7 linked regions of the Coturnix japonica genome follow. The protein of the gene in region 3 interacts with the protein of the main gene of each other region in a pairwise test. Links are inferred from orthologs where the notes say so. Each region holds a gene or a part of one and is shown on either strand. Other genes may lie near its edges.

Region 1 (4,197 bases), on a different chromosome or scaffold from region 3:
CTTCAAACGAAGCGTTTTGTGATATGTTTTCTAGTTGTTTCTTAAATAATGTGTATAATTATAAACCAGTACCTCCTTCCCTCCATTTTCGAGCCTAATCCAGGCTTTTCTCCACAGGCCTGGCATTGCCAACCCCTCTGCCACCAGCTGGGTTTCCCCATCACCCATCCACTGTCACAGCAACATACATGGCTGTCCCCTGCCCACAGACATGGGGATGCTCTGGCCCCAGTGGTCTTCCACTGCCATCACAGAGGAATTCCCTGTTAGCTGTAGTATTTTATCCAAGCTTATCCTCCTGCACTTAGTGTGCACCTGACCACACCGTGGGAAGCCTCTGCCATACATCGATCCCTAAATCTGCTGCTGCAGCAGCCGTTAATCCCGGGCGCTGAATCACCCACACGGCAGCAGCAGTGAGCACCAGCACAGCGCAGCAGACACAACAGCCCTCGCGCCACACACCCCACTGCACCGCCAGCAGAAATATGCCAACTATTTTAAGCCCCCTCAGAGGATCTGAATTCGCTTGTAAGCCAAACTGAAAACAGCCTGGGACCCGTAAAGGCTGTTGCAAAGGGGAAAGCAGCACCTAGTAGCAGCTACAGTGGGGAAAACAACCAACCCTGCTTGCAATGCGTTGTTTTGGCTTTACACCAGAAGCCTTTCTAAAGGAAATGTATGTCTCAGCATGCTAAAGGCAGCTATAAAGAGCACTGAGCCCATCACTGAGTGTTAGAGGTACACGCAGTTTGGGAACAGTAGGGAGAGCTGAAGTGCAGCTCCTGTGTGACCTCACTGTGCAGCCAGAGCTCCAAAGAGCCCTTCCTCCCCAACTTACTGCAGCCTGAAAAATAAATCAAAAATCCCACAGTGTTCTGGGAGTCATAAATACGGCTTTAAGTGCCATGATTATTTAGCAAATTGAATTTGCTTATTAAGGGTGACGGCTGCAGGGACAGCAAACCCCACATGAGGTTGTTTTTCCATCTCCCCGCTGTTTCGGAAGGTGCAGAGATGTGGATGGTTCCTACCTGGGTGAGCACACTCGGTCGCAGTACCGTGTTCCCAACTCACTCAGCCCTGAGCTCTGCCCAGAGCAGCGGCTGCAGCCCCCAAGAACATCCACAGGATCAGATCTGCAAAATCCAGCACTGCTGCACAGCCGGGACTCAGGGGCTGTCCTGCCTTATTTTGGGGTACCGATTTATTTCAGCAAAGCACCAGAGAACAAGCCAGGAAGGATGCCACAAGCGAGGACTGCTGGGTGCCGGGGCCCCGCGGCCGAGCGAATCCGCGTCCTGTGACATCTTGCCCTGTCAAGTGCAATTACTGTAATCTTCCACAGCCTCTCAAAATACGGAGCCCGGCTTAGAAACCGGGCATCCGCAGCATGAAAGCTGCCTTTGTGCCCGGGCAGAGCCTGGGCGCGCGCCAGCCGTGAGGTGCACGAAGAAAATGAGTTCTCCACGTGCTGGGAGAAGGGAGGAGAAGGGAACCCTCCCGACCGGCCCCACTGCAAACGGGCTGGAGCTCAGCTGCCTCTCCCCGTGGGGACACTGGGGGCACTGGGAGCTGCACGGCCACCAGAACCCACAGGCATAGCAGGGACGGTGCCAGTGGGGCACGGCCAAAGTCCTGAACAATGGGAGGAGCGCATGGGAAGAAGGTACGTGGGTGCGGGATGCAGTGGGGGGTTTGGGGAGAGGGCACTGTTTGCTCACATGGGGCTTGTTTTGCTCGCCGTGTGCTACAGGTGGTGACAGCAGAAGGGGATTATAGTGGGACTGAGCTGCTCTTAAGTAGTGCCACCTGATGGGTTCAGTGCTGGGGCCGTGCTGGGCCTTTGGGGACAGCAAGGAGGGGATGGTGAGAAATGTCAGCCTTGCAGATCAACCCCCAGCACTAAGTTTGCACCCAGCTTCGGTCCCCACTCCCACACCACTTCCTTGCTCCCAACTAATGGAAGCCAGGGCAAGCCACCACCCTCAGCACGGGGTGACAAGTGCACATCCCTTAGGAAAGCAGCCATAGAACTCTAAAGGAGTTATACTAGGAGTAACTCTAAAGGGAGCGGTGCTGAGGGGTCCTGAGGCACGCAGACATGCTGGAGGTGGCTGTGCTGTGGATGTCATTGGGTGTCACTTTGCCTGGAGATATGTCACCACCGCGCGGCTGGGCTGCCCTGCTCTGGTGTCAGTTCTTCTACAGCTCCCCTCCCAGCTCCATCCAGTAGGTCAGGAAAAACAGAAGGGCTGTCTGAGTTCCTGACCTGCATAAAGCTGCTCAGATTACAGAATGCTTTAAGAATGCATTTTCAATTTGTCAGGAGCAATATCGGGAAGGTCCTCCTGCTTTCCCCCTGTCTAGCTTCAAGCAGTTTGTGGTGTCCTAAGGGCTTCAAGGAATCCAAACATCTGCTCCCTCCTTTCACCCTCTATCAAAAAGTTAAAATGAAATTTAATGAAAATCCCTCCAAAAAGAGCTGGGCTAGGACCCCAATTACTCACAAACAGCACCCAGTGACCCAAAACTGGCACCTGATCTTCATCCAGGCCTTGGCACATGTGCATGGCGTTACCAGGGCTGGGGCAATAAGCTGGTTAGGTCAGCCTTGGCTCAGAACTCAGTGCTCCCACCCATCCGTGCCATCCTCTTGATGGTTCTGGGGCAGCTTTGCTGCTGCTCCCTCTCTCCAAGCAGAGCAGTGCCAGCAGGGCTTGTGATTCAGTGCTTTATCCGAGAGGCAGGGAAGGTGCATGGGGTGGGCAGCAGAGCTCTGCTTCCCCCACAGCCCCTGCAAGAAAGCAGGGCACTGCTGTGCACAGCTCTGAGGGAACATGGGGGCAGGATGAGGGCTCTGCATTGCGTGCCAGTGCTGCCTGTCAGCAGTCTCAGCCAAGCCCCTGCCAGGCTCAGAGCAGAGCAGCATCCAAGGGTCGGCAGCAGGGATGTGGAGTGCAAGGCAATGCCCTGCTCCACAACAAAAGGGGCTGGAAAGGCTGCCAGTGGGGCTCCAAGGTCATGGCTGCTTTCAAAGGCTGCAGCTGCTCCCATAAACCTCCTCTGGCAGCAGCACTGACAGCAGGACACGGGGCTTTGCCCATAGCCCCATGCTGCAAGGCAAGGATCAGAGCCAGCCCTGGGTTCTCTGCTCACAGACCCTCACTGCTCGGCATAGCATGAGCCCCTCCTCACAACCCCAGAACAAACCCTCCCAACAACCACACGAGCACAGCCTTCCCCAAAACAGCAGCAGGGTTTGAACCGCAGCCGTTTCCCCAGGGAAAGTTCTTCTGTCCCCAAATTCCCAAGAGTGTCACTTTACACTAATGTCAGATGAGCTGAGATTAGGAAGCTTTGCTCTGCTGCTGAGCGAAAACAACAAGAGGCAGCATGCCAGTGCTGGGGATGGCCCTTGTTAGCACAGCAACACCTGGTGCCCACGCTGAGTTCCTCCATGGGAATGGGACAGGCAGCCAGGACTGAGCACTGAGCAGTGTGACCAGCCCCAGGCAGGTGAGACCCAAAGCAACTTCACCCCATGGGCACACGGCTGGCACCACACTCAGCACCATCTGCAGAACCCATCTGACAGGGAGCAGTGGTGCAATGCCAAGGCAATGTTAAAAGGAGATTTTAAAAGTCCACAGTGTTAGATGAAAGCTCCACTGGATGAAAAAGCTGGCTCTTGTCATTCAAGAGCTTGGAAACCCTTATCCTAACTACAAAAATCCTGGGCGCCTATATTGGAAAGTGCAGGATGGAATAAGGCAAACAAGAGGCACTGTGTCTGCGGCTGGCAGGAGAGAGGCAATGGGAAGGGAAAGGGCTGCTCCATGCCAGGGCTGCAAAGCACACAGAGGAAGTGGCCACAGCAGGACCAGCGTGGTGCCATCCTGGCACAGTGAAACCAATCATACTAGGCTGAAGCGGCAGCCCCACGACATGGTTTTGTGGCAATGGCCCCGGGAGCACATCCAAACCCAAATGGCAATTGGGATCCACAGTGCTCCCACGTCCTGAAGCACTGTGCCCAATGCACCTGCAAGTGTGGAGTGTGGAGATCACTGCAGGGCCACGCAGCAGCTGCCAGGTTGGGGATGGCTCAGTGGTCCCCAAATAGAAATGAACTAATGCAATTAAAGGCTTCACTGCTTTGCTGCTCCCTCTGCTCCAGGGGTTCACTCCAATGCA
Region 2 (4,077 bases), on a different chromosome or scaffold from region 3:
GTGCTGTGCTGTGCTGGGATGTGTGCGGGATGGAGCTGCGACTGAACCGCCCCTGAAGGGCTGTGCTGCTCTACTACAGCACGGCTGTGTCTGTGGAGCCTCACACTTGGTGGACAAATGTAAGCTGACGTGCAAAGTATTCGAAATAATGAGAATAGAACAGCTCTTTGGAGCAGCAGTTTTAATAAAGCTGGATGACACTAAGAACGCGATCATTCATACCAGAAAATGTCTCAGTAATGAAGATGGAAGATGTTAGAGAATGTTCTAACTACCTGGAGGAACAGTAAAAGTGTTGAACCCGAAATAGCCAGAACATCCCCCACGGGACGTGGAGAGGAACCCCACGTCAAACAGGGGACGTCGGAGTGATGGTGCTGAGGGGAGGAGACGTGGTGGTGTCAGCTGTGATAGCAGCGGGAGCTGTGGAGGAACATGGAGAGCTCTATTGGCCACATTGATCCTGTGCCATCAGCTGCACATCCAGGAGATGTTGGGGAGAGGTTTTAGTTTGGACATGACTTTTATCCGGAGCAGTCCGTCACACAGAGCGCGTCCCCGCCGAGCGCGGCTCCAATTCGTGCCGGGGCTTCACAGCGCCGAACCGAGACTGTGTTAATGCCGTCACACCGCGCAGCGACAGCCAGGCATGGCCGGGCAGGTGAGGGAGGCGCGGGGCCGGCGGGATGTGCAGGTAACACGGCGGGAGCACGAGCCGCTGTTTGTTCTGTACACACGTCACATCTGTGACAGCCCCGCGCTGTTTGCTATGGAGCTGAGGGAACCCAACTTCGTAAAGCTCCGAAGCTCCGTCCCCAAAGCTCAGCGCTCTGAAACCGCCCACGCTCTGGGCGCTGCCCCGTCCCGTCCCGTCCCGTCCCGCCGCGCGGTGCTGCCGCGGTCCCGTCTCGGTGCCGGCGTGTAGCGGAGGCCGGGGCGCTCCCATAGCAACAGAAGGGGCGGGGCCGGAGCGGCTTTCGTCGGGGCCACGTGACCGTTCGAACGGCCCAATCGCAAGTTTCTCGGCCGAGGGGGCGGGGGCTCCGCGGGGGCGGGCGGGCGCGGCGCCGCGCCTCTGTCGCCGATTGGCCGGAGCGCCCGCCCGCGGCCGCGCCGATTGGCCGCCGGTCCCGCCGCTCCGCGCGGAGCCCGCCCCCCGGGGAGCGCCGCGGCTCCGGGCCCGGCGGGAGGGCGACCCCGCGGCGCGGGGCGGGGCGGCGGCGGACACGCCCGATGGGGCGGGGCGGGGCGGGAGGGGCGGCGCGCTGCGGGGCGGGGCGGATCGGCTCGTCCTGTGGCTCGTCCGGCGCTGCTCACAGGGTGACACGTCTGCGGGGTGAGTGAGTGGCATTGGCAGGCTGTCAATCCCTCACCGGAGCGGCCATCAAACAACATAAAGCACACACAGTCACCGGGCGGCCGCGCTCATAAATCCCCGCCGGCTGATATTTTTGCACGTTGCTTCGCACACAGTGTGTAATTAATTTTTTTACAGTTCTTTCCCCTCGATTTCCGCTCTTTTCTTTGCGCGAGTTCAAACTTTGCTCCTCGCCGTCCCCCCGCTCACCCGGGATGGTTGGTGATTTTTGGGGGGAGGGCATTAATTTTGCTCGTGTTTTGGTGCCGTTTTGATGTGTCGGTCCGGGGCCGCTCGGCTCGTTGTGCTTTTTGCTCTTTGCCCTCCCAACTTCTGCGGGATCTGAATAATCCAACTTTGGGCATTTTGTCATTTTTTATTTTTTTTTTACTTTTTTTTTTTTTTTTTATTTTGTTGCCTTTTCGCATAGAAGATTCTTTGGACAAAGTGGGGAAAAGACATAGAAAGCAACAATAAAAACAATAATAGCAGAGGATAACAATCATACTACTGCTCATAATAAAACGCTGTGGAGGAAGATCGCTCCGGGGACAGGCAGCGGCCCGGCACAGACATGGTGCTGACGGGAGAAGACTGTAACTAAAGAAGAGTGATTTACCGCGCCGGGGAGAACAGCGCGTTTCCAGCCGCCGCCGCTCCCGGCACCGCCGCTCCTTCGGCCGCCGTTTCCTTTTGGTGTTTTTGCCTTTTTTTTTCGCCTCTCGCCGTCGCGGAGCGGCGGGGCCGAGCCGGGGCGCTCAGTGCCCCCGCGGCGCGGGGCCATGGACGAGCAGTCCCGCATGCTGCAGACCCTGGCGGGCGTCAACCTGGCGGGGCACTCGGTGCAGGGGGGCATGGCCCTGCCGCCTCCACACGGACACGACGGGGCCGACGGCGACGGCAGGAAGCAGGACATCGGGGACATCCTGCACCAGATCATGACCATCACCGACCAAAGCCTGGACGAGGCGCAAGCAAAGTTGGTGTCGTCTCGTTACGCCTTGTCTGTCGGCGCGCGTGGGGCGCGCAGCTCCGGCCCGGGAACGCGGCCGGGACAGAACTTCTGGCGCCGGAGGAACCGCCGGGCGAGCGGGGCGCGGCCGGAGCGCCGCTGAACGCCGCTTAACGCCGCTGAACGCCTCGAGCCGAGCGATAAACGCGGCAGCGGGAGGTGCTCGAGCCGGCCCCGTCCCGTGTCCGTGTGTCCGCGGGCCCCGGGCCGGGCCGCAACTTTCCGCGGCGCTGCCCCGTGCCCGGCGCGGCGGGAGATGGATGGCGGCGCCGAGCAGACACCGCCGCGGGGGGAGAGAGCGGCGGCCGTCCTAAATCACCGCCCTGCGAAACAAAGCGCGGCCCGGCCCGGGCCGCTCCGCAATAAATCAGCCCCGGACGGCGCTGATTTACGCCGCGCGCAGCGGGGCCCGGGCCCGGCCCGGCGCTGAGAGGCGCCGCCGCGGTGTGGCACGGAGCAACGGCCCCGCTCGGGCCCGCTCCTGGTGCGGGCCGGGGCCGGTTTCGGGGCCGGTTTCGGGGCCCGATGCCGGGCTCTGCGGGCGGCCTGGCGGCGCGGCGCGGCGGGCGCCATGTTCGCGTCGGGCGCTAACGCTGTGTGTGCTCTCTTGCAGGAAGCACGCGCTGAACTGCCACAGGATGAAGCCCGCGCTCTTCAGCGTCCTCTGCGAGATCAAGGAGAAAACAGGTAAGGGCCGGCCCGCGCCGCAGCCATCTTGAGCCCTCCTCCGCCGCGCCTCGGCGCTGCCGCCCGCTGCTCGGCCGCGGCCCTCCGCCGCCTCCGGGATGCGCCCGGCCCTGCCCTGCCCTGCCCGCGGTACCGGCGCACAGCGGCACCCGGCAGCGCCCGGCCCGGGCCCGGATCCGCCGCGTGCAGCGCCGGCAGCGCCGCGAGGGAAGCGCTGGAGAGGGACGGGCAGCGCCGAAGTGACGGATGCGGCCGCGCGTGCAGAGCGGCTCCGGCTCCGGCTCCGGCTCCGCGTTGGCAGCTGCGGGCGGCGGGGTTTGAAACACTGAAATGATGGTCACAACAACGTTATTTTCCGTGCAACATTAATGAGACGGGAAGGAATGTCGCGTTTGTCTCGAAGGCGTTTGAAGGGATTTTTGCAAATTTCTTACATCGCTGAATTTACAGAGATTTTTTCTTTTTTTAAAATAAGACAATTTTGAAAAATATCGTACTCTTCATTGTGACAATAAGGACTTTTTTGACTTTTTTTTTTCTTTTTTCTTTTTTCCTAATCTGGCCTTAAAACTGAACACCTGCACTCGTTTGCTTTTTAGCTGTATTTGGTGCTCCATTGCAGCCCTCTTAGTTGCAAGCTGAAAATCTGGGGTTATAGAGGTTAGCAGCCGCCTCGTGCACGCAGCAGAGCCCAGCTGAGCTGCCCGGTGCGCGGCTGTCGGTGCAGTTGGTGCGTGTTGTGCACGGGCTCCTGTGCCGCCGGGTCCCGCTTCAGCTCTGCTGACGGCTGAGAGCTGGATATCGGCTGCGCTGCAAATATTAAGATTGATTCCACGTTACACTGCGTGACATTACCTCAGATAAGGAGCGCGATCCTCTCTGCCTCCCCCCTGCCTGCGCGGTGTCCCTCCATCCGCGGCTCCTGTTTGTTTTCCTGCCCTGAACTTTGTGCCCGTGCAGCGGTGCCGGCAGCGGCCCCTGCTTGTGCTGAGCCGGAGCGGCCGTGGGTCCTGGGTCCTGT
Region 3 (4,007 bases):
AGTCCTTTCTTGGCTGTTGAATGACTTCAGCAGGAGGGTGGCACACAGTCCCACACCCAGTCCAACCATAACCCCTTCCCCTCCTATGCCCCTCAGTGCCATATCCACCCTGCTCTCGGACCCATGGACAGCGACTCTTCCCTGGGCAGCCTGTGCCAATGCCTCACCACTCCCTCCGAGAAGAAATATTCCCTAATATCCAACCTGAATGCATGTGTTGGCCTTTTCCAATGAGCCCCTATGAAAGGACCCGCAGGCCTCGCAATAGAGCGGGAAGTGACACAGCTTTTTGTACAGCACGTATCTCTCATCGAGGCTGAATTTAATTTACGGTAAACAAAACATTGTGTTCTGGTCTTCGGAAGTAAAGCTGACACTACTAATTTTTCAATAGATGAAAGCCTGTGAGATATTGTAGATTAACAACAAAGAGGCATAAATGAGCTCCCATCTGAAAAATTAATAACATCCGTTTGACAGCATCAGTGTTAACATTCCTACAAAGGCTGCATCATTTACATGGAAACATTTCTGCTCTGATCTTGCAGATGATAGAGACACTATTGGCAGTAATGAGATTATGACTACATGGGTAATTAACTTGTAACTCGTCGCTGAAACAGCCAGCAGTTGTACTGCTAAAAATGTGAGGAAATGACACCAAGTGTGATTGGAATAGAGGAAAAAGCAGAGCTCTGTCAAGATGCAATAGACATTTCCCATCTTACTGAGCTCGAGAAGTATACACTGCAGTGTCCTCAAGCACACTTAAACATCTCCTGCCAGCAAGGTTAGCTCACTAGCAAGTTTACAAACAGAACATTATGTATTCTGGACAACTAAAAGTTTTGTGGGCTTGAGCGGTTACATAGAGCTGAAGTAATCACAGTGATCACAATGTTCAGCAGTAATATCTGCCTATTTTTTTTATCAGGTGATCCATTGCTAAACACAGACCGAAGGGTTATGTTTCTGTGAAATCCCTCCCCTGGCCTGGCCATTAGCCACTTGCTTCACTATAAATAGCTTTCCAAAGTCCCAGCATACGTACACAGAGTGGGGATGGTGTACATATACAAGTGCACATCATGCATTTTTTTCCCCCCTAAATTCTGTTGTTTCTTAGATATTTTCCTAGATGTCTTTTCTAGAACCTGATCTTGATTCCAACTCAGATCACTAGCAGCAATTTCTAGTAATTTGATAGTCAGGTTTTGCCATAAAACTTTTGCAAAGAACAGCATAGGCATTTCAGTTTAACTGTCCTGCTGTCTTCATGTGCATATCCATTTGAGTTTGTTCATGAAGAATGCACATTTTGTGCATACAACACAAGATAACGCACCTGCAACTACACCCTTGGAAATCATGTCTAGAGTCTATTACTGCACTCTGCTGGGTTTGTTAATATCAGCTCAGAAACTGAGTGTGTGCTCTGGCTTTAGAGAGGTATCTGTATAAATGTTCCAAGTCCTCTGGCTCAGGAATCACACAGAACCATCAGAGCCTTTTCTCAGTGGATGGTGTTCGTCCTGGTGACACTCAAGCAGTGTGCAGCTCAAGGACAGCTGGGGCACATCTATATTTGTGCCATTGCTCATTGCTGGCGTGTCCCTATCTGAGGAAAGAGGCGGTCTAGAGTTACTGCAATAAGTCTTCCGACTGCAGATGTAGGAAAGTGGCAGGGAATTGCTTTTTTGTGAATTAATTTTTACTATGGGAAATAAATGTGAAGTTTGATATCATCTGAGCTATCAGAAGAATTTATGACGTCTTAAGATAGAAGGCAAGTTTTTAGGTAGTAACATTCTTTGCTGTATTTTTTTCATTATTGGTGGTCATGGACTTAAACATTCTTCACTGTAATTGTATCTGCGTCTGTAAACTGAGCAAACGTATCATCTGAAAACCTTATTTAGGCAGCAGGGTTCCAGACACGCTTAATTATGCTCATTTTAATTTATATAATTTAATTTTCTTTTGGTAGGAAAAATACTTGTTCACTTTTTTAGTTAGTTGTAGCTTGCAAAGCAAGGCTTATTGTTACAATTATGGGGAAAAAAGTCTTTGTGGGAGCCAGACAACATTTGCTGGTACGTTTCAAGTCCTTTACTCTGTTCCATATGTTAGAATTTGCATGATTTATTTTATCAGCTCTAGCATAAATAGTAGTATTTCTGCATAACTTCTGTGGGGTTTGTTTTTGCTGTGGTAAGAAATCACTAGCTCTAGAATCTACATTCATTTCTGCAGTGCCAGAAGAGAACAGTGAACTTCTGTGTGTAATTTCTTAGAGATCCAGGGGGCTGGATTGCTTTCAGTCATTGGTATCCAACTGGAGAATGGGAAATTTCTTAGCATTTTTCACCAGTTCAATAAGTTTCTAATAAATCACTGAATTTGTTGGCATTGATAGCTAAGTAATCCTCAGGAATATTAGTAAAATACTGATGAAACAAAGTTGAGGTGATAGCAAGTACTTGTAACTATGAAGACTATAAAAAGTAGTTTGAAAGCAAAGCTTATGTGAAAGCTTCTGCAGAAGCTCCTAAAATCCTGAGTGATGAGTGACTGAACTTTTAGCTTTTTTGGAGAATTTTTTGTTTGTTTGTTTCTGGGAGAAAATGGTTTCCAAGGTTTTGCCTGTTTCACTGAATTAGGACTAGATGTAACTATAGATTCATTTAACTTTGGCTGAAATATCCCTATGAACTCTGCTAGCTGTCATAGTCAATTGCTAGAAAAACAGAACTGTTTTTCAGTTCTGCAGCCATGATTTTGCTGAGTGGTGGAGGGCTGGGGGGATGTAGCAGCTCTGACAGAGCACCTGGTGGTCTCCCTGTACCAGCATTAGTTCATTTGTTGTTATTAATAGTGGGATATTGAGAAGGAGTGGGCCTGGGGAATCAGCATAAAGATTGCTTTTGTACCTTTAATGTTGTCCGACATGCATCTGCTTTATCATACAGCTTTGCATTCCGCATCCATATGCTTTTTTCACACCTCCCACATTGCAAGCTTCAGATCAGATCAGGCTTCTCTCAGTTCAAGGGTCTGCCTTGCTTCCTGGAGACTGTGTGATTTATCATGGGGACCATCATCTTTTTCTGCAAATTTCATATGTTAAAAAATGTATTTTCACAACACCTGAGAATCCCCGAAGGACAGAATTTATCCCTGTTCTATGGAAAGGACCTGAGAACGGGAGTGAGAATAAAGCTAAAAGGAACATCAAGTTTCAACTTCAAGAAAGACAACCTGAAAAATCTAGAACAGGAGTTTTCAGGTCATTAGCTAATGTTTTATGGGGCATCAGGAGTCACAACAAGGCATCCTACAAAATACCTTAATGACAGTTCAGAAGCAGCGCTTGATGGCAGCTAAAGGGTGAACAGACCTCAGATCAGTCCATCTCCATTTGTACAGAACACCACTAAATGCACTTGAAGCACATCCCAATGTAATGCTGAAGATGGGACTACCCCACAGTTTGGAATTTAGATGTCAGGTCACAGACAAGTCACTCAGAAAATACAAGATACACACTAAAGACAGCTCTCTTTGCACAGGGGACAGAAAAGCCAAGCATCCCATTAGGGAATGAAGCTTTAGCCTTTCCCACGCTTAACTCTAGGCCCAGAGCTGTCAGCCAATCCTATTCCTTTCTACATTTTTAAGAAAGAACACATCATGCTTGATTCTAAGCACATAGCTGGGATTCTTCTTTTCTTTTACAGGACTGAGACTCATCATCTCAAAAGCCTCACAGAGGATACCAATGTCATCCAGATCTGTCAGTGCAAGAGAGTATGAAAATAGTGACCAATTTCTTGGTCATTCAGCTTCTCCACCAGTCCCAAACTCTAGTGAAACTGAAGGCTTGATATTTTATCACATGGATCTCTACGGATCAAATGAGAGGTTCGATATCTTTCCTGAAGAGCCATCTGGTCAAGGAAGCAGATTTCAGGGAAATACCAGAAGAGAATCTGCACTGAGTAGTGAAA
Region 4 (2,611 bases), on a different chromosome or scaffold from region 3:
TACCACACCTCCTCCAATATTTCCTCCAATATTTCCTCATTTCACAACACTTTTCATCACTTGCTCTTGAAATCACGGACAGAAACATAGGGATTGCAGAAATAACTCATGACTCTCAGACCCATCTCTGGGTTGATGTACATCCCCAGAGCTGAAGTCTAATCAATGGACTTAGTTAAAGAAACATAATAACAGTAAATTGTTCACATGAAGATGCAGGACCTATTCCAATCTAAAAACACATTCTGCACATCTTTGGTACTGGAACTTTATGTGGTATCTTGAGATCCTCCAAAAGACACCAGCCGCCCTTCTGCAGGGTGCAGCATTCTCACCTTCTCTGAAGCATCTTGCTTGCGAGTGGAGTCTCGCCCACGCAGGCTCTTTGCGCTGATCCCCGACTCTGACGTTTGCATGATCAGTTGTGTAGCCAGAAATTGCTGCAGGAAAACCATACTCTGTTAAGATTCTCTAGCAAAACAAGCTCAGTTAAAGCTTGTCAGCTATCACAAACCACAGGGCTGGGAACGAATGGGTCAGAGACAGTTTCAGTTCCTTGTTTGCTGCTCAGAATAAGTTTCCCCATTCACCTCAGCAGCCACAAGTCTGGAGGGACTATAAAAATCCAGTTCAAACTATGACAGCCCTGGCAGCTGGGACGTTCTGCTTCAGAAGAAATTCTAATGATACATATTCAAAGGACAATCTCAGGACAGTTTTGTATGTGCCTCAAGCCAGCACAGACTGACAGTCACCAAAAGCAGCAGCTGCGTCCCTTGTCATTCACTGATCTTGTTGCTCATTTCTGTTCCTGAACCACACCCCAGTTCTTGCTGGCCTAAGCATATGTGCACCCCCAAAGGAAATCAGGTTTGAAATTAGTCTGGGCTAAGCCAAACAAACATCTCACTGTGTTAGTTTTAACAATCCAGTTCACCACAAACACCTAAGCTAGTACAAGCAGGCAAAGATGGGGATTCATTTGAAGACACTGTGAGTGAAACTTCATTTTCACTTCCAGAAGTCTTTCCTGTACCTGTGGACCAATGCAGACAACTCTGTTCTGAAACAGCCTCAGCTCAGTACTTTACCTGGATCTGTTCCAGGACATCTCGCTGCATCTCTACAGCCATATGGTACACATCGTGGTCAGAGCTATTGTACATAACTGCATTTTGAAACATCAGCATAATGTCACGCTGGAACTCAGCTGTGGTTCGTATCAGTCCATTCTCAATGTTCTTCTTGATGGTAGATAAATCCATCGGCCTATGAAATACATTCAAAATAGCAATGCAAACATGTAACTCTCTCCTTTCTCATTTGCAGTCTAAGGACTAAAACATATCTAATTAGACCATCTATTTAATTTAGCAGAATATGTTCCCACATAGGCTGCATTCCTGAGTTCCAAGGCTTCAGATCAGGAGACACAATCTGCTCAGCAGTTAACAGGAATGGTAAGTACATGTAACAGCTGCCTCAAGAGAGGCATTTGCCTTCTCCAAGCATTCCGTGTGACACAAGGGAGCCACAGCTACAACCACTGGACTATTTAGGCACATTTTGGTAACTCTTCCATAATCTAGACTTTCTGAGGCAATAAAAGAGCTGATTAAAGAATCCGGGTTGTGGGAACATCACACCTTAAATTCAACCCTTGGACAATAACAGAGAAGCTGATAGTCACATACCACTTCACTGATAAAAAAATGTTCTGGTCAAATCTGTATTTCATTCAAGGACAGGGCTGTGTACAGACTTGTATGTGTTACTGAAGGTGTCCCTTTTTCTTAGGGAAATACAATGAATGATGTCAGAAGAAAGGTATTTTTCAAGTTTTGCAGTCTGAACAATGGATGAACTCTAGACTCTTCCTGGCAGAAATTCTTACGCAAATACACCAGAGTTCTTGTCACATAAGAATGCTGAGACTCACCTCTGCACAATACTGTGGTAGCCTGGTGCTATATCGTCAGTCACAGGCTGCAGGAAGACATTGGCATACCTAAAGAGATAGAGAGAGATTCCAGTGAATGCCCTGCCCCTGCCAATAGAGGAACAATTCTCAAATACTTGTGTCATGCTCTCATGTTTATTTGTCTGCTATCACTAACAGTGTGATTCATCATCTCCCCATAACAAGGCAGGTAAAGCCTCAGAGCTGGGAAAGTACAGACTTGCCTGAGATTAGTCACTTCTTTCTGCCAGTTCTCAAGACATCAAACTCACCTGTGATTAGCCGCTGCTCTCCAAACCAGCATGATGGCTTTCTTCCAGATCTTCTGAGCCTGTATTGCTTCCTGATCCTCACTGCACACTGAGCTGAGAAAAAAACAGAATATGATTTCCTCTGTGAATCTCCATACTGCCCTGGCGCAGAAACCTTACGGTTCATTTTGCCTTTGTCATGCTTACAGTAACCCAAGCCAGAGAGAAATATAAAAAATGGGACCTGGCACTACAGCACTGTTTGAACACCTGCACTTCTGAGTAAGGACAATCTAGTGCCAGACAAATCATCAACAAATTCCCCCACTGGACCCACTCAGCAAAACAGAAATGAGAATCCTGCACTCCCCCCAGGAAACAGCCTGGGATTTGCACCTGT
Region 5 (3,949 bases), on a different chromosome or scaffold from region 3:
TCTCTGAATGTAGCTTACTTCACTCGATTACTAACATCAAAGTAGCTAAAGAAATTAATAATTCTTTCATCCCTTATGACTAATGATATCAATTATTTAAGAAATAAAAATCATCAAGTTGCAAACCTTGCCAGTCCAGCACTACTGTTTTTATTTGTTTGGGTTTTTTTTAATATGCAAGTCTCAATCTCTTAGTAGCTATTAAACTCCAGCTTAAAAACTGAAGTGTTTACACAACACAAAAGAGAACGTTTCACCCGGTTGGTTTTAACAGCACAAATGTATTTCCAGTTCATGCATTCACACTGAACCTCTGGGTAACAGGGTAACTCATCTTTTAACTGCTCTGTTTCTTCTGGTGTGCTTGAAAGCATGAATTTTCCTGAGGGCCTGTGTCCCATCTGTGACAGAAAGCGATAATCCTCAGAACCACAAGACTAGACATGCAGGGTACCATTGAGCCACAACCAGCAGCTCAATCACTGTTTAAAAACTTCTCAGCTGTGCCTATAATCCCTCTGATGGGTAAACAAGGCAGCTAAGGCACTCTGTTAGATGGATTCCTGCTTTTGGATTCAGAACTAATTCTACATTCACTCTTACACAGCCAGAGATCAAGCATTATATCAAAACACACAAAACACTATCTCTAGCCACACACCCTCAGAAGTATTCTATTATGTTCCGTGAATTCAATCTGGGAACTAACCTGGATTTAATGAACATCCATGTCTTTCAGGTTGCTTTTCAAGCAGCTCCACTCCTCAGAATAACGCACTGCTGGCAGCCCCTGGTGCCAGTGGGGAGAGCAGGGCAGAGCTCAGCACACCCAGCAGCACCGCTGGCTCCTGCCAGCTCCGTGCTCAAGGAGCAAGTGTTAAATGTCTACTGGGACTACTTCTAATTCTAGAAGGGACAGAATGCCACCACTGCTACTCAGACTTGGATTACTCTCTCCTGACTGCAGGAGACTGTAGAGATGCAATTACAGCAACCATGCTGTGGACACCTAAGATGGAAGTCATATTTGCCTCGTGAAAGATTAAGCTCCTAACAACTGCAAGCATAGCCTGGACCCTCCCAAGGGATCAAGGATATGGGAGGCTTCCAATCTGAAAAGTTCCTGAAGATGTTCCTCATATGACCCTGAAATTACATGAATTAACAGCTCCTAAACTATCATCTCAAAGCTACTGAGCACAGCTTGTAGAACTGGTTTCATTTTTACACCTTTGTTTTAAGGACTTAAAGATCCACAGCAGTTCACAAGACACGCCGTGCATCAGCAGCAGTCTGATTCTATCAGAGGTTCAGATTCTTGGGCGTGAACAACAATTCACTAAAGACAGAAAACATATCTCCAAAATCTGTCACAAAACAAGAGGAAATACACAGCTGTTATGAAGCTACTGCTTCTGTTCAGCTACACATACCCATTGCTCACCCACAATCCTTCCTCAACCATATAAAGCCACCTTAATGTGCATAATAAAGTTTTCCTCCCCAGATGATGTCTTTTGGTAATAATTTGTATGCCCAAATCAAGTCTCCCTAAGCAGCAGTAGTTTGGCTTGTGCATCTGCTCCTGTGTTCCCTAAAGAACAGGGATGAAAGTTGTCTGTCCAGTCAGCCTTTACTCCTTGCTGGAAAGGCAAACTGCAACAAGGAAAACACCTTAACTGCCCATAGTTACTCAGCAGAACTGAGGGAGGATTTGTCAAGGACTCCAAAGCTCAGCTGTTTATGCAGATGTTTCTCTTCCTCCCCAAGTACAGACCAGCCCCTCCCTCGCAGCCAGGAAGTGCAAGTAAACCCCCAACAAGTTTCTGAGTGCATGAAACAGGTAACAAGGTAGTACAACTCTAGTTCTATACTGAAAGCAAAGCGAAGCCAGTTTAAACAAATCAACCTGTCTATGAACTAACCAACCGAACAGCTCAGTTTCCTTTCTCTCTTGAAGTACTTGCAGCGTCCTGATTCATACATCGATATTCTTATCATAACAGCAAGAACAAAAACAAACCCTGCTCTCAGGCTGAACGACAACGGGTTTGCTTGAGAAATCCTTCAGTTCCTCTGCTTCTCTATCGCGTTTTAAAGTAGTCCTGCTGATCAGTAGTTAAAAGTACTCTATACTTAACAAAAAGCACTGCTTCCCCTTGGCTTTCAAAGCTTCCCTTCGGCTTTCAATGCAGTGTTTTACGAGTCTCACTGACTCCCTCCTATCCCGGTGCACTATGAGCAGTGCTATCAAACCACCGAGTTCAACAGGTACAAAGCAGCTCCCGGCGCTGCCCATGGCGCTGCCCGGCCAGGCCCCACCACCTTCACGATGCCGATTGCGGCCTTTCCCCTCCGCTCGCTCCGCCGCCGCCTCCCGCAACTTCGGCTCAACTTCTTTCCATCTCCCATCCCGCCCCGTCCCCGCGACACCGGCCTCCTGCCTTCCCCTCCAACCCCGGCCGCTCACCCCCAGATGACATAGTTGGTCTTGACGTTTTTAGGCCAGGAGAACTCTCCGAAGATCACCTCGTCGCCCTTCACCACGATCTCTTTCTTCTGCGTGTTGTATTGCCGCAGCACGCTCAGCACGTCCGCCATCTTCACCCCGAAGCCGCCGCCGGCCGCCGCCGCTCCGCTCCGGGCCCGGCCCCTCCTTAAGCCGAGGAAGGACCCCGCCGCCAACAGCCAGGCCCCGGGCTGCCCTACAGGATCCGGGAAATTGAGGAGAGAAGGGATTTATCACCGTTCAGCGAAACGAAAGTGCATGCGTCAACGCTGCCTCCCTATGACGCTTTGTAACCGGCTTAAGAATCGAACTGACTCTCGTTACCGCCCCAACTGAGGAATAACGGACACAGGCACCGCGAGGGGCAGCCCCGAGTCTCGAGGGGCGGGGCTGGGAGGAGGAGGGGGCTGAGAGAGGAGCCGGACCGCAGTGAGGACTGGGTGGGAGCGCCGCCCCTTCCTGCCGGCCGCCATGTTCCTGCAGAGGGCGCTGCGACTGAGGGGCAGGTGGGTTGGGGGGCACGGGGTGTGAATGGGGATGGGGGGTGAGGGTAGGAGAAGGGGTAGGGATGGGGGTGACCCAGTGGGAGGGTGCAGGCCGTGGATCTGGGCAGGTTGGGTTGAGGGAGCGTATACCCGTAACTGTGGGCTTTGTGAGCTCCCACCTGGTGGAGACGTTACATTGAAAGGTAGTATGAGGCCAGCCTTTAAATTGAACGTGTCACTTATGTTTTTCTTCAGTTTTAGAATGGGAAATAGGCTGCCTACCTCTGTCAGTCTGTCCGATGCTGCTGCTGTGAATCAGATACAGGTAACGGGTGATGCGTTTACTGATCTTTTGAAACTCGTGGTTGCTTCAGGGCTCTTGTGAGTTAGGAAATCATAGAATGGGTTGAGTTGGAAGGGACCTTTAAGGCCATCGAGTTCCAGCCCCCTGCTGTAGGCACGGACTCATCCTTCTAGACCTGGTTGCTCACAGCCCCATCCAGCCTTGAGAGCTTCCAGGGAGGAGCTGCCACAAGCAGTTCTGCATATCAAACATACTTGTAGATAATTAATAGTAATGTTGATATTAAGTCACGCACTGTTTATCCCCAGTGCTGGGACCTGTTTTTCCTACGCTGTATCATTTATGTGACTTTTTGAAAAGACTTCTAGTCAAACTCAGTACTGCTCACAGTGTGGGGGAATTAAACCTTGTAAAGGTACCCCTACCAAATGCTTGTTGCTGTAATGGCAGATTGATAGATCCCTGTTTGTTTTTGTGACTGTCAGATACTGTTAAAATACACCAACTTACCAACCTGAACGTTCTTTTGCTTATTATAGGAGATAATCTCAGACAACTGCGTGGTGATTTTCTCTAAAACAACCTGCGTCTACTGCAGAATGGCAAAAAAGCTTTTTGACGGTCTGAACGTCAATTACACAGCTGTAGAAC
Region 6 (3,500 bases), on a different chromosome or scaffold from region 3:
GACAAATCCAGCATTGCCACAGGGAAGTAACACTCATCTCTTTGTAAAACCTCTTCCCTTTGATTTAAACTTCGGGGCTGGGCTGGGTGCGGTCATCACTGTCACACTTCACTTGCAGACCAAAGGCACAGGTTTTCTGCAGGTACACAAAATACCAGCAGAGATCAGCTCCAGCTTGGGGCCTGCCCCAGCTCCTCAGTCTCCCAGGATATCCCTGCTGTGCAGTAACCTCAACATATCACAGGAAATGGTAACTGTTCCTGCAGCAGGCCACGTGTTTGGATTGCACTGATTCACCAACAGGTGCTTGCCTGCCTACAGCAGGCCAACAGTTACTCACAATGAATAACTAATTTAATTGTTCCATCTACCTGATCTGGAGATATGACAGCTGCATGCAGGCACACACTGCTCCATCACAGCACTACTTGCTCATGTGTAATTTCCTGTCAGATGTTTAGAGAGCAGAGAGTCTCTCCCTGGTATTCCTAAGAACTGTCCCTTGTGTTTCAGAGAGACGGACTGTGCTGTAACACAGTCTCTGCAACCACAGCCAGAAGTCCTGGGTGAGACAGAAGTTCAGGGAAACAATAAAAACACTGTAGAGGAACAGAAAGAAGAGGCGAGAAAAAACACTGCTGGTACAATTGGGAAAAGCCAGGAGCTCAAAAAGGTAGCTTTCCCCTTTTTTTCCATACTAATAACCATTTGCTTTGAGATCTAGGAAGTGCAGCAAATCCTGGTTGCTATAAATAGAAATCTGAGAGAGAAGCCAGCTGACTATTAAGGTTTTTCATCTGTACTTTCAGGACAAGCCATACTGCTACATCCTTCCTTAGGACCTGAAGGTCCAAGTGCTATTGTTAGCTGGGACAGATCTGTTCTGCACCACTAGACAAGTTACTCTCAATTCCTTTGCTTCCCATTCTCCATGGATATAGTGAGAATCACATCACTTTCCTTCCTTCTCTGTGGCAGATTGGACTGCTTTTCAGAGGCAAAAGAGGAAAGCCATGGCCCTCACATAACTCATCTACTTTCACAGAAGATGAGATGAATGTAATTCTGCCACTATTCTCTAAAATACGTATCCTCAAGTCCCCTCTTTTGTTGTCTATTTCTTTTTTTCTTTGTCTCCTAGAAAAGATGATAGTTGATAAACTTGACAGCACAGGACAACTCCAAATGCAGTAACTACAATGACAGCATCTCCATCTTTACTGAGGTGTTTCATTACAGAAATATTTTTCTCCATTAATAAATACATTTGTCCTGTTTAACTAGCTACAAAAAGCCATTTACAGAGAACTGAGATTAAAAAAAAAACAAACAAAAAACAACAAACAAAACAACAAAGAAATTAGCTACCAGTGCAATCAAAGTTGAACTGGAAAATCCTGCCAGTTCAATGGGAGAAGTCCAATCTCATCCTGTGAGTTTTCGTTCTGCCTTTTGCTGCTAACTTCTATGAGTGTATATTGCTCTGTTACACAACCATGCCATATTTCAGCATAAAAGCACTGTAACTAAAGGCTGAGTTTGGGCTAAATGCCTCTCCCACTGCTGCCAATATGCTGAAGGGAATTTGGTGGCTGAGTGGCTGTTTCCTTTATCAGATGGTTCTGAATCACACAAGGTTTTTCTCAGCACTGTTTGCTGAAGTTGAGCAACTATGTGGGAGATCCTTTTTTTTCCCACCCTCCCTTTTTTAAAGAAAGCTATTAGTCAATATTAACAGCAACAAAAACGAAACCCAAAATCCATCACTGAATCAGCCAACTAAAAATCCCACTACCAAAGATATAAAACCCTTACAAACTTTTGCAGATGAAAACAGAGGAGTTTTGCATATTTTACTTTCTGTTTTCCGTCACTGTATTGTAAATAAGTTATTTTCCCAGGTTTCTGATGTTTATGCTAGTCAAGGGGAGGATACAGGCTGCAGACCCAAATGTTGCATTTTGTAAAGGTGGAGAGAAGGGGAGCTAGCTTTCTCTCACCCTCCCTTGTTAAATTGCCTTTTCTGTACCTGAGGGATCTGAGCACTATGCTTCGCTGCAGGGGCCATGGGGTTTGATCTAAGAAAACAAGCTGCTTCACTCAAGTTTTAAGTTCCTAGTTCTCTGTTTAGGAAAAGGAAATTGGAAATCCAGGGTCATATTAAATATTAGCCCAACAGGTGATAGAGAAAGCAAAGCATGTCCTTGGAAAGCAGTGTAGTACAGCTAACTTATTACTCACTGTGCTGTGGGAGGCAGTTTGGGTCAAATAGGGTGGTGGGTGGATGTTTGCTCAAAGACAAGCCTCACCTTTTCCTAAAAGACAGGTCTCAGCTGCCAGCATAGCCAGACTGGTTTTAGGAAAGAGAAAACATGAGGCATGCAGCTAGTTGGGTCAGTCTGACAGGCAGTGGTTTGCAGCAGTCAGCCACAGTAACAAAAGAGAAAAAGCAGCTGAAGCACTAGATGGCAGGTTCTGCTAGGGCTTGATTTATGGAGATGGAAAGAAGGCAAGCTTCCCTTCTTTCTGCTCCCTGGGACCACTTGTGAGTATCACTTACCTAATCTAGGCAGACTTAGGACAATTCCTGACACCCCTGACTCTTTTCCCGGTGGTATATTTGATTTAATGTGATGAAAAAAAAACTAACTATTTTTTTATCAGAGAAAACTGGAAAAAATTGTTAACATAGAAGTCACATTACTCCTTCTGCCTCGAACTCCTAGAGTCCAGCAACTTGCATATGCAGGAGATTAGACTGAGGTGTACCTGAAGTTGAAAGCACAAGTGAGATTCACTCTGGAAATGCTTTACTGGTGCACATCTCCAAGGGCAAAATACTCCCAAGATTCTTGTGCTCTACCTTTGGGGAGAGTGAAAAGGAAAGGGTAGCTGCTTCTTGCCATCAGCTCTGAAAATGCAGAATGTTCCTGCCTGCCTTACTGGGCTTGCCAGGGAGTGCTGTGAGAAGAGAGCAGCCTACAAAGCACGGCACTTCCATACAAAGAGCATTCCAGGCTATGGCAGCCCAGCACTACTATGTGGTACCCACAATCTCCACCTGCAGTCATGGAGATTTTTGTCAAGGACACATTCCAAAAAAGAGTAAAGTTCCAAATTCTGCATTTATTTCTCACCACTCTTTTCCTCTGCCCAGAAGGAAGCCCGGGATGTTCACCAGATGCTGGCAGACTGTCAGATGAGGAAGAGTGGCTTCTCACAGGTAAGCTGCAACCTAGGATGTTGCTGACTTTGTTTCCGACACAGACATTATCTTTAAGTCTCAGTCAGCTGTTTTCCTCTTGGCCCAGCTCTGCCCAGTACTGCCATACTCTACTAATAAGGTGTCAGAACAAAGCAGGCCAGCCTGGCAGACTGGGGAGTAATATGGGGAGATATTCCATGTTATTTCTGTTTTGCCCTTCTTTCTCTGTCATAACCCGCAGTAAAGTAAGAGGTTCTTTGAAATCAAAGGGATTCACAACTGAGAATGGAATCCC
Region 7 (3,500 bases), on a different chromosome or scaffold from region 3:
GATGCTTGAGAATACTTGTGAAAGAAGCTGGTGGATTTATTTATTTTCTTAACCTCTTAGGTGCCATACCTAACAGAATCTTAACACTCTTTCAAGACCTGTTATTCTTTTGTTGGGAACTTGAAAAGTGGAGAGAAAGAAATGTACTACAGTTCATTAATTACAACTTACAAGAAGGTTGCTGTTAAGTTATTTTCAACTTACTGAGAATTTGTTCATCTACTGGGGTGCACCTCCTTTGGTAGAATTCACTTCTGTAATCTCTCTTGGACTTTCATTCACCTCTACTTTGCAAGGGTGTGAGAAGCTTGGATAAATGCTAGTGATGAAATACTCAGCACGTTGCTAGTGCCCATCTATTTCAGTAATTTTTAAAGGTATTTTTGAAAAGAAACAAACAATGCATTATTTTCAACCCTCATTGCTGTGTGCCCTCTGTTTGAGGCTATGAAAAATATCTTTCCTAGTGAATCCCTAAGTTTTTTTAATTAGAATATAATCTTGGTGTGTGGTGGATGGGGGAGTTTGAGCATAGAGCTGAGAAATGATCAAGGGTCATTGAGTTCAGTAGCGTAAGTGGAAAAAAGCACCCTCTAGGCTTATAGACTTAACTGTGTGCGCTGCTTCATGGTTGTGTGGGAGACTTAGCACAGCTGCTATTCATTGCCCAGAAGAAAGCAAGGAAGGCTGCAGGGCATTTTGCTTAAGTTTGTATGCTAAGGATGCTGACTGTGTGAATGAAAATTGTGCTAGAATGGATATGTGTGATTTTTGGTGGATCAATATTCAGGCTTATCTTGTGGTGAAACAAGTCTTTTTTTTTTTTTTTTTCTTAAGGGTAGTCAAGTTTAATTTCTAAACTGTAGTTTTCTTGTCAGAAAGTATGAGATAATAACTATAACTCAAGTTTAAGACATTGGATTTCATATCTCATACTTCAAAATGATTTTGTCATTTGTTAGTGACCTCTTCCATTATTTCTAAGAAATAGAAAGGCTGTGTGTATTACTTGGACATTCTGTTTGCCTGCCTGTTTACAGGGGTGAATTCAGGAGGTTACCAGCTTTCAGTGCATGTTTTATATTGGTCTACTACAATACGTAAAAGGCTGACTCAAAAACATATTTACATTCTGAATAATACTAATATCTGTGGAAGAAAAGCGTTGTTTGAGGCTTGTTTTTTAAAAGTATCTGCAGACATACTGTAAGTGTACCTCTTTTTTCTTCACAGGCATTTGTAAAGGATGTACATGAAGATTCAATAACAGTCGCATTTGAAAACAAGTAAGTATATTGCTGTTGTATCTGCAAATACAGAGTTAGGAGAGTTTCTATCTTGAATCTGATGAACCTAAATAGCACTTTTGTTGACGGAGAGTGGCATCCTTAAGATAGTGTATGATTCTGCTGCTATGTTTTAGAATTAGGGGATTAACTACTATGTACGTTTTGTCTGTGCTTTCAATTGTTTAAATATTTTAAATTACAAAAGCAGGGGAAGGTGAATGATCTGAAAATTGTATTATCGGACTTACATAATAGCAACCAGTGTTTTAAGTAAGCGGTGATACCATGACTGCTTCTATCTTATTTGAATATTTTATTTCAGATTTTCCCAATTGCTTTATTACAAAACTTGTTTTATAGATGGTGATGAATGCCAGTTTCCCATGCTTAAATTTTGTACCATGATTTAGTGGCACAGCAAGTTAGTCTTCTGTTACATTGTTTAGCTTAGATTTTGTTTCCTTCAGGAAGGAAAACCAAGGTGAGGTGTGTGTATGTATATGTGTATGTACATATATAATCCTATCTAGTGTATCTTTGTTATGGAGTAGTGTATTTTTTAGGGGTCATTTTATGGTTACTTTTGGAAAAAAAACAAAAAAAAACAAAAAAAAAACTTGTTAATTTTATTAAATTTTAAAGAATTTTAAAATTCAAAGTGAATTCAGACATAACCTGGGTTATTTCCTTTTAAGCTAAAGATGAAAGAGACTGATTTTGAAGTAAAAGTTTAAAAGTGTTAAGAATTTTTTTAACCTGAATTTTTGATGTTGGGGATAAAACCTGTAGCTATAAATTCTAAAAACAACTGGAAGGTTTCAAAACAGTACAGGTAGGAGCAAGATTTTGATATACGTACGCAAATGCTCTGCAAAACAAAAAAAAAAAAAAAAGATGAAATGAAATGAATGAATTTATTTCTTAAAAGGAAAGTGAAAGTGTTTAGGTCATTCACTGTATTTTCATTCGTAGCTGGCAACCAGAGAGACAAATACCATTCCATGATGTGAGGTTTCCACCACCTGCAGGCTATAATAAAGACATAAATGAAAGTGATGAAGTGGAGGTATGTATATTCCATTAACAAAGTATGTTTTTGAGAAGAGAGAGAAAATGTCAGCCAAGCCAGTGGAAGGCTTGTCCCCATATTATGTTGCAACTCTTTTGATTTGAAATACAATGTAGAAAATGATGTCAAACTTACCCTCAAAATGTATTTTTGACAGTATGACAATATCATTATGTGTACACTGATTTACAAAAGAGATGAGATTTTCTTTGAGCATGGATCTTTTGTCAGAACTCAGTGATTTGTAAATATATGCAATGTTAACTTGGACTATAGTTCTTTAACTACATTTAGACTTTATTAAATGTGTGTGTAGATAAGTTAATATAATGTCTGTTTGTTAGCGAAACTTTGAACTGAATGAAAAAATGTGCATTCTGTATACAGGTTGCTCCAAAGGTAATGCCTTCTATTTATTTCCATGGAAACTACAACAGTTACAAAGAGCACAATAGCAGAATCACAGAACTGTAGGGGCTAGAATATCTCTAGAGATCAGGTCCAACCCCCTTGCCAAAGCAGGCTCTCTAGACCAGGTTGCACAGGTAGGCGTTCAGGTGGCTCTTGAACATCTCCACAGAAGGAGACTCCACAGCCTCTCTGAGCAACCTGTTCCAGTGCTCCATCACCCTTACTGTGAAGAAGTTCTTGTGCACATTTGTGCAGAACTTCGTATACTTCAGTTTGTGGACATTTCCAATTGTCCTGTCAGTATGCACTACTTAGAAAACTCTGGCCTCTTCCCTTTGCCTCCCAAACCTTAGATATTTATTGATCAGATCCCCACTGGGTCATCTTTTCTCAAGGCTGGACAGGCCTGGGTCATTCAGCATTTCCTGAGGTGCTCCAGGTCCTTTGTCATCTTTATGGCCCTCTGCTGGACACTACTTAACAGAGCAAATTCTCAGCTGCAAAACACAATTTTTCACCATAGTCAGCCACCATTAGCGTTTTTGCCAGCAATGAACAAAGGCTGAGCTTGAAAAAATCCACACAGGCAAATGTCACCTGATAAATGTCAGTGGGTTATGTTTTTTCTGCATGGAGGAGTTCATTTCCATACCTTTGCTTCATACACTCCATTCTGTCAGGCTGCCTCTCAGCTGCCATCTGTCACATGGTGACAGAATCCAACAGAATAT

Evidence for each region.
Region 1: the proteins of FSD2 (region 3) and FAM107A interact in binary tests that used the Homo sapiens proteins (3 or more experiments, as listed by UniProt). The two-hybrid records come from large-scale screens. The link is inferred for Coturnix japonica from reciprocal best matches to the Homo sapiens genes FSD2 and FAM107A.
Region 2: the proteins of FSD2 (region 3) and PBX3 interact in a two-hybrid assay, tested with the Homo sapiens proteins (3 studies listed by BioGRID and IntAct). The two-hybrid records come from large-scale screens. The link is inferred for Coturnix japonica from reciprocal best matches to the Homo sapiens genes FSD2 and PBX3.
Region 4: the proteins of FSD2 (region 3) and BRD8 interact in binary tests that used the Homo sapiens proteins (3 or more experiments, as listed by UniProt). The two-hybrid records come from large-scale screens. The link is inferred for Coturnix japonica from reciprocal best matches to the Homo sapiens genes FSD2 and BRD8.
Region 5: the proteins of FSD2 (region 3) and CDC73 interact in binary tests that used the Homo sapiens proteins (3 or more experiments, as listed by UniProt). The two-hybrid records come from large-scale screens. The link is inferred for Coturnix japonica from reciprocal best matches to the Homo sapiens genes FSD2 and CDC73.
Region 6: the proteins of FSD2 (region 3) and SH2D4A interact in binary tests that used the Homo sapiens proteins (3 or more experiments, as listed by UniProt). The two-hybrid records come from large-scale screens. The link is inferred for Coturnix japonica from reciprocal best matches to the Homo sapiens genes FSD2 and SH2D4A.
Region 7: the proteins of FSD2 (region 3) and FMR1 interact in binary tests that used the Homo sapiens proteins (3 or more experiments, as listed by UniProt). The link is inferred for Coturnix japonica from reciprocal best matches to the Homo sapiens genes FSD2 and FMR1.

What each region holds. Positions count from the first base shown.
Region 1 is NC_029527.1:9,375,824-9,380,020, reverse strand, and holds the start of FAM107A (actin-associated protein FAM107A), read left to right. Parts: upstream 1-1,397; 5' UTR 1,398-1,645; coding exon 1,646-1,669; intron 1,670-4,197. UniProt on the Homo sapiens protein: Stress-inducible actin-binding protein that plays a role in synaptic and cognitive functions by modulating actin filamentous (F-actin) dynamics. Mediates polymerization of globular actin to F-actin. Also binds to, stabilizes and bundles F-actin.
Region 2 is NC_029532.1:8,212,748-8,216,824, forward strand, and holds the start of PBX3 (pre-B-cell leukemia transcription factor 3), read left to right. Parts: upstream 1-1,277; 5' UTR 1,278-2,139; coding exon 2,140-2,336; intron 2,337-2,373; exon of another isoform or gene 2,374-2,528; intron 2,529-2,555; exon of another isoform or gene 2,556-2,853; intron 2,854-2,982; coding exon 2,983-3,056; intron 3,057-4,077. UniProt on the Homo sapiens protein: Transcriptional activator that binds the sequence 5'-ATCAATCAA-3'.
Region 3 is NC_029525.1:9,848,414-9,852,420, reverse strand, and holds the start of FSD2 (fibronectin type III and SPRY domain-containing protein 2), read left to right. Parts: upstream 1-1,207; 5' UTR 1,208-1,786; exon of another isoform or gene 1,787-2,093; intron 2,094-3,737; 5' UTR 3,738-3,778; coding exon 3,779-4,007.
Region 4 is NC_029528.1:11,890,451-11,893,061, reverse strand, and holds part of BRD8 (bromodomain-containing protein 8), read right to left. Parts: intron 2,326-2,611; coding exon 2,233-2,325; intron 2,009-2,232; coding exon 1,940-2,008; intron 1,270-1,939; coding exon 1,092-1,269; intron 441-1,091; coding exon 336-440; intron 1-335. UniProt on the Homo sapiens protein: May act as a coactivator during transcriptional activation by hormone-activated nuclear receptors (NR). Isoform 2 stimulates transcriptional activation by AR/DHTR, ESR1/NR3A1, RXRA/NR2B1 and THRB/ERBA2.
Region 5 is NC_029523.1:3,380,346-3,384,294, forward strand, and holds the start of CDC73 (parafibromin), read right to left. Parts: upstream 2,801-3,949; 5' UTR 2,602-2,800; coding exon 2,471-2,601; intron 1-2,470. Other genes in the region: GLRX2 (glutaredoxin 2), read left to right, coding at 2,981-3,015, 3,250-3,319, 3,838-3,949.
Region 6 is NC_029519.1:30,063,082-30,066,581, forward strand, and holds part of SH2D4A (SH2 domain-containing protein 4A), read left to right. Parts: intron 1-513; coding exon 514-673; intron 674-3,157; coding exon 3,158-3,223; intron 3,224-3,500. UniProt on the Homo sapiens protein: Inhibits estrogen-induced cell proliferation by competing with PLCG for binding to ESR1, blocking the effect of estrogen on PLCG and repressing estrogen-induced proliferation. May play a role in T-cell development and function.
Region 7 is NC_029519.1:17,289,197-17,292,696, reverse strand, and holds part of FMR1 (synaptic functional regulator FMR1), read left to right. Parts: intron 1-1,233; coding exon 1,234-1,286; intron 1,287-2,261; coding exon 2,262-2,355; intron 2,356-3,500.